Xenopus tropicalis: one gene and its partner. The protein of the gene in region 2 purifies or fractionates together with the protein of the main gene of each other region. This does not show direct contact. Links are inferred from orthologs where the notes say so. Each region holds a gene or a part of one and is shown on either strand. Other genes may lie near its edges.

Region 1 (3,500 bases), on a different chromosome or scaffold from region 2:
CAGGGGTTCGTACACTCAGCCAAGCTATCAATAACAATTAAATTAAATAAAATGAAAGAAATATGTACAATGGAGATACTGCTACTGTATATACCAGGATCTGAATTAAGAAGTTATAAATAGTCTGGGGTTTGGCTACAGCATCACCCACAAGTATATTTAGTAGAGCCACTAAATATGTGCTGCTGTTGTAACCATAATGTTTATTAAAAAATTCTTAAGGTTATCTGCAAATGTATGACCATGGTTCAATCTGTATCGTTCCTTATTCTATGACATTATTCAAGTGGAGGTTGGGCTGTTACCGTTTGATATCTATGGTTGGCCCTTCCAACCTGCTGACTGGCATTGCTTGCTACAACCAAGTTATTATCTACAACACACTTGTGCCAATAAAAGTGCACCTGCAGCAGTTTCTGCACCTACAGCCTATTTCTCATTATTTGAATATTTATGTATATTGTATATTTTTAAATTCCAAAAGCATAATTTCATCTGCCACTAAGCCACCCAGATTGTCCAGAGCCCTTTCCAAGAGCATACTTCCTGGATGGAATTTATTGGCCTGCATAGAAAGCAGACCCAAAGCAATAATTTATGCAAAACAGTATAAAATGCGTTGGCGAAATCCAAGCATCCACATCTTCTGCAAGAAGTTCATACTTACTTCATCAGAAAAAACAAATTATTAAAGGTTTATCCACTACAGATGTACAGGTCTTTCTGCTATCTAAAGTATATAATACAGACTGTTTATAATATATATCTAAAAACTGTCTATCCCTTCTGACATGCTTTTTCTTATTTCTATCAACTTCCTAAATATTGTTTCACTAAAAACAGGTTAAAAAAAAAACTCCTATATATGTGCAAGGGAAAAAAAAACCTACCTATTGTTCTCACAACATCTCTGCTCTCAGCACGGAAACAGTTTATTCGGCCGTCCTCCCCAACAGAAACGATTTCGGGACTGCTACATACAATGCCAGTGCAAGGAGCTCTCATGTTTGATCCAACATGATAATGTGCCTGTTCCCACTTTTGGTTTACTGATAAAGTCTCGATATATAGAAGAAAAAAAAAATCTTTCAACAGGCATAGAACTACAGGGAGCAAAGTGACAAGTTTTGCGATAAATAATGATTAGAAATATTTGTAATTCAATACAACTGAAGTGGACCTAACTTAGGGCAAGAACTGCATGATACAATATTGTAAAGTTTAGAAAGGATTCTTAGGCTATGTGAAAAATGAGTTCAAAATACAGAACTGGAACGCTTTCAATGAAAGAATGTAATTCTAAGCAGCTTTTAATTATACATAAAATGATCAATGTCTTCAAAGTTATTTGTAAATATAATTGCTTTTGAAAGCAAAAGCTGTCTGTCCATTTCTATACTTTAGAAACAATGTAACAGAAGCCAGCTAATTTACAAACCTGTGAAGAAGAATACAAGGCTGATTTCTGCTACATTATTTTAAGATACAAAACTAGCAGCACAAAGGGATAAAAAATACCACTTTCAATTGCAATCACATTTACAAATAAAATTACTTTTTCTTTCATTAGACAATTTTATTTAGGGGTTTACATATCATTTAAAGGTTGACATGCAACACTTAAGGTGGCCACACATATTAAGATTTACTCGTTTGGCAAGGTCGCCAAACGAGCAGATCTTTCTCCCGATATGTCCACCTAAGGTAGACAAGCTGCTGGATTTGTCTGAAGGACTCGAACCGGCAACTTAAACCTGCCCGTGTATGGCCACCTTTAATCTAAAATGGATGTTTTTACTTTTTTTTCCCCTTTTTCATGTACTTCTGCAGCACAGCACCACAGTATATAGGCTCCATTGCCAAACATGTCAGTACCAAATATGCATTGTTTTACAAACATTATGGAATTTCAGAAACCACATGTGTAAAATGCTTCAAAGTATCCAACCAGAAATAAACATACTTTAGAAGGCCAAAAAACCCCCAAAAAGCTGACCCAGGTAAACAATGTTTTGCTACAAATAAACTTTACAGTGATTCCCAGCAGTCCTGTATGAAGCAGTATCCTGTTGCCAAAATATTACTGTGTATGGCCAGCTATAGCACAGCTCATTATTCAACAACTGTCCATTAGACAGGGCAAATATCATTCATTACAGCTATCTCAATGTTGCCCATATGCATGAGGATCACTAAACAGATGAATCTTTTACCAAAATGGCCACCTTGAGGTGGGCAATATCAGGATAATATTGCTTGGTCAAATGGCCTTTATGCAGATAGTCGGATAAAGGGACGGGTCAATATGCAGATGCAGTCCTCAATCTGACAGGTAAGGCACCGAAAACAGGTTTCACTTCAGGATTCTGCCTTTTTCAGCAGCCTAATGCATGTGCCTCGCCGAATCCTTAAAATCACATGATTTTTTGTCACATGAATACAGAAATTGAAATGTTTAATTAAGATTCGGATTTGGTTTTGGTATTTGGTATTCAGCTGAATCTTTCACAAAGGATTTGGGTTTTGGCTAGATCCCAAAATAATAGATTCATTGCATTCCTACTATCTACTATGAAAATCAAATGTGCCTGTTTAAAAGGAAGCAATGTTACACATAACTTTTCTAAACTTCCTCTTAAGCTGGCCATACACGTGGCGATCTGACCGATGGTCGCACGAAACATTGTCAGATCCGCCACACACAGTCAGGGCTGAAACAGCAGATAAAAAGGTAGAAACAATAGGATTTCTACCTCCTTCTGCCGATTCAGCCCTGACGGCAGACTTTGGTCAGGCGCCTTCTATGGCGCCTCGCCAACATGCCAATTTTCTAACCTGGCCGATCGGCGAGTCGTCCGATATCAGCAGCTTCCTGCGATATCGGTCGACTCGCCGACATGCCATACACGCACCGAATATCGTATGAAACGAGGTTTCGTACGATAGTATCGGTGCGTGTATGGCCAGCTTTAGGCTCACAGTGTAATGTAAGCCTCTCCTTGCTCCACTGTAAAGTGATGGATTCTCAGACTTGCCTTCCATTGTGGGTTGTGCAAAAATTTTAAGGAAAACAAATGTAATGGATTCTGAGACCTGAGGTCCATTGTTAAGCTAATGCAACGTGGTTATTTCTCCACCTGATTTTCAGCTGATCTACACTTATGCATTTACACTTGTATCTGCCCTGACAGGCAATGCATTGGCCTATGTGCAAACACATGGAGTGGAAAAATGCATAATCTCTCATTTTTGTGCATAAAGCCGACACATACAGGGAGTTGCATGGATGGGAGCAGATTTACTAAAATGCAGCCAGAGAAATAGCTACATGTGGCACTAGCTTAATAATGGAACAAGGTGAGGAAGTGGATTGGAGCCAAATAGCTTATGCAGCTTATTGCAGATGTAGAGATGTGGTTATGTGTTCTCAACAGAGGTTACTTTTTTTAAGCTATATAACCGTTTATCACTATACTAGTGTTTCTAAAGAAAACACCAAT
Region 2 (3,958 bases):
CACAAAATACGTATAGGATAAATCACATGAAAGAGAAACTGAAGACTAAAGGTGGCCATACACTGTAAGATTCACTGGTTTGGCAAGGTCACCAAAAGAGCGGATCTTCTTCCAATTACCCACCTTAGGTGGGCAATATTGGGCCAATTAGACAGTGCCGTCGGACCGAGGACCGCATCGGCTTGTTCATCCAATGGAAAAATCAAACCTGTCGGAATCTGCACAATTTTAGGCCAGATGTCAGTTGGCTAGGCTTGTCGGGGGTTCCCATACACGGGCAGATAAGCTGCCCCTAAGGCCTTAAGGACCTGAATCGGCAGCTGAAATCTGCCTGTGTTGTGCCGCCTTAATGCCTTCTGTAGAATGGATTGTCTTACCATAGACATGTTTGCCAAACGCCCAGGAGTCTGTACCAAGCGAGGTGATCGCCCTACAGTGCCCAGTATTGCCGAAACATCTGGTGGCCTTGAAGAATTCCAGGTTTGTGGCGTCACTAGGTAAAGGTGAAAAGTACATTTACATACCAGAAAGCAAAAAAAAAAAAAAAAGACTTTCACAGCATAAATACTATGTTCAGTATTACTTTTTTCTTATATCCAAACTGTAATAAACTGCAGCTCTGACAAAATCCTTAAGCCATATTTTGAAAAGAGAGATGAGCTTTCCATAGATAAGGGTTGTTTACTGTGGGGGATACGGGTTGTCATTCCCCCAAAATATCGTCAGAGGCTCTTGCATGAACTTCACGAAGGCCATCCAGGTGTAAACAGGATGAAAGCACGAGCTCGTGTTACAGAAGCACAAGCAGTACACTGACTTACAAAAAATTCTATATCTTGATCCAGGCCTGGCCACCACAGGTAACCACAAGCTTGTGCTTTCATCCTGTTTACACCTGGATGGCCTTCGTGAAGTTCATGCAAGAGCCTCTGACGATATTTTAGGGGGAATGACAACCCGTATCCCCCACAGTAAACAACCTTGATCTATGGAAAGCTCATCTCTCTTTTCAAGATATGGCTTAAGGATTTTGTCAGAGCTGTAGTTCGAGAGACCCTCTCTCAGCATTATAAATCTCATCCTCGCCCCCACTGTAATAAACTGCTGGCTAGCAGTGGGTTAATACTGCGGCTGTGTTAGTTCAGGTAAAGTAGTCAGATACACACTGGAACTTTTGGTATATTTATTAGAACATGGCAGGTAGATTTGGCCTGCTCTCAGCTTAACAGGAAGCACAAGACAGGAATAGGAATATCATCATCAAGAAATGGCAAAACAGCAAGAATGCCCTTAACCAAAATGTCTACACAAGCAGGTTACTATACAAACTCATCTGAATTTTATAATAACCATGACTGAATGCTGATATTTGTAAAACACAAGTCAGTGGGACAGTTTCTACAAGATGAATCAAACAAGCCCATGATTATCAACTGCAGACCCAGTTTATATATAAACATCTTACTGTGCTGTCGAAATAGTGTTTGTCCTGTTGTGCGAGATAATGGGCCTCTTGCTGGTGTTGCATTGCTCCAGCTCTCATCAGCTAGGCAAGACGTTAAGTGTGGCAACAAAAGCTTTTTCTGGAATCAGTTCAATATTTCCTCTCTAAACAGTACCAGGGAAACAAGCAAGCACCGGGAAAATATTAGCCGACTTTCCAGCTTAAAGTAACTAATCATTATTGTTGTTTGCGTTTCTTATTACACTGTAATTGCATTGCCCATGCATAGCCTCAGAACAAAAAAAGAACAAAAAAGTGCAATACTGGTTCTGTTGCATTCATGTAAGGCAAAAAGTCAGGGAGTCATGACGGGGAATGCCTAAGAGACAGGGTTAACCATGTTATTTGCTTTAGAGACATGTAGGATAATGTAATAAAGGCTTAAGTTTGGTCACACATATTAACCCATAGCAGTAAGTGCTACATGCTGATTGGCTCCTATGGATTACAAGACAAGACGCATTTATTAAATTAACCCATCAAAGACAATAAAAGGCCTATTACTGTGTTTTTGGTGCAGGTACTGCTATCAAACATCTGTGGTCCATAAACAGCCTGTTAATATTAATAAAAACCCACCCAACCTACTCCTACGATGGGTTATTTCCTTAATTAGAGTAATACTCAGACACTGCAAACTTAAATATACTATCACATTTAATCAACACAGATTTAAAAATGAAGCCTTAACCATTTAAAACAAAGGGGACTCAATAAAGGAGGGGCCCTTCCATTGATTTTAGAAAAAAATGACATGCAAAACATAAACACTAATCACAAAGAAATTATAGTAATAGATAAATGACAACCAAAAATTTCTGTTAACTTCCAATGTCATTTTTGTTTGATCAAAAGCCTTCCCGTTTGATATTATTGGGGACACCAGTGATTTGTGATGATAGTTCACATTACAAAAGGATACCAGGATTCCTCCTGTTGGAGCTTTGGCGGCGAGCTGCTCTAGAAACCTCTGCCTCCCGCACTACCGGCGAAAGCATATCCATGCTGGTCCTGCTGCAAGAGAGCACAACACGGGGTCAGTCCTTCCTATGTTCGATGTGTATTCTGTGAGAAAGTCCCGCTATGATGCACACAAGGTTGCAAACATGTAACAGAAAAGTCTAGCAGACCGATACATACAGGCTAGAGGGAGAACAGTCCTTCAGTCTACTCAATAGAACGGGACTAAAACTTCTGTGAATAAGCCAGAAGTACCGAAAGCTGCAGAGAGAGAACATGTAGGTACCGTAAGCTCCCGCCCTCCCATTCAAAGTGTGCAGCGTACTGACAGCAGGGACCCTGACTAACCCCTAACTGAATACTACCCAACAGTCCCGCTTGTCGATCCCGATTTTCGTAACACAGCCAGCAGCCGCAGATTGCTACTTACACCTTTGCTACTTACTCCTCCCGTAAAGCTGTTAATTGCAAGCTCCTAGCCTCCTGTCTTACAGAAAATCCCGACTCCACATGTCTCCTCACGCGAGACTGTGACGTACAACTACACGCAAGCGTCGTGACGCATCACGTAGCCGCCTTATGGGAGTGACGAGCAGAGACAGTGCGCTACCCAGTAAGGCGGCGTTACACAATTGGTAGCTGCTAATAAGTAGCTTGGATTTGTTCTGCTCGCACTTCCTACTTTTGTTGGAGAACAAAAAGGGAAAAAAAAGACTCTTCTTAGGAGGTGATTGCTCTCCTCCACCTCGAATCTCAATATTTCCTCCAAGTCAATTATCTTTTCTGCTCAGAGATCCTTGTCATTGCCAGGGAGCTAAAAAAGAGTTTCCTGGTTGCTAACGGTACCGGCTGCCGTCAGAACCTTTTCTCCCAGTCTGACCAAAAAGGGAAGAGTTATTGTGAAAACTAGGGCCAAGTGAAATGAGGTCATGTTTTTAGGGGTTTTTTTGTACTTTGAGGGTTCTGGTGGTTTTGTGCAAACTAAGGGCTGATTTAGTAGAAGACTTAGAGGCAGGCCAAGCTTTAAGCTGGCGATTGATGAGACTAATAACCTTATAAACTAATAACCCAAAGGCTGCAAAATCTACGTTAAAGGCTGAATCGGTAGATTGGATACCTCCATATCTGACAATTCAGCTTTGAATGAAAGTGGTCGCAGGAAATAGCATAATTGCATAATTGTATTGCCACCTTTAGGCAACCTGGCCGACCACCTCACCCCCGCTGCAACCCCATCTGTGAATGAATGCACGTGGACATTGTGAAGGGGGGGAAGTGCTGCGCGCAAGGTGTGCAGACTTTGTGGGGGTGGAGCATCAGGGGCAGGGGGTAAGAGATCCCAGACCAGGAGTTGGCAAAAGCAGTACCTGTAGCATTCATGTGTAGGGGATCAGAGAACTCGATTGGCTGGATGTCCCAGTGCAGTCTGGGAGGAGGTGTGCTTAAGTTTGGAGCCAAAAATCAAGGGGCGGGTCCAGCAGTTGATAAAGGGAG

The links. Proteins that work in one complex are often made in the same cells at the same time.
Region 1: the proteins of nup107 (region 2) and nup43 purify together in Homo sapiens (affinity purification with mass spectrometry; 8 studies listed by BioGRID and IntAct, counting the BioPlex papers as one, with this or other methods). This does not show direct contact. The link is inferred for Xenopus tropicalis from reciprocal best matches to the Homo sapiens genes NUP107 and NUP43.

The regions. Positions count from the first base shown.
Region 1 is NC_030681.2:58,282,635-58,286,134, forward strand, and holds part of nup43 (nucleoporin Nup43), read right to left. Parts: intron 1,060-3,500; coding exon 891-1,059; intron 1-890. UniProt on the Homo sapiens protein: Component of the Nup107-160 subcomplex of the nuclear pore complex (NPC). The Nup107-160 subcomplex is required for the assembly of a functional NPC.
Region 2 is NC_030679.2:58,822,675-58,826,632, reverse strand, and holds the start of nup107 (nuclear pore complex protein Nup107), read right to left. Parts: upstream 2,801-3,958; 5' UTR 2,743-2,800; coding exon 2,645-2,742; intron 2,519-2,644; coding exon 2,427-2,518; intron 1,547-2,426; coding exon 1,466-1,546; intron 494-1,465; coding exon 378-493; intron 1-377. UniProt on the Homo sapiens protein: Plays a role in the nuclear pore complex (NPC) assembly and/or maintenance. Required for the assembly of peripheral proteins into the NPC. May anchor NUP62 to the NPC. Involved in nephrogenesis.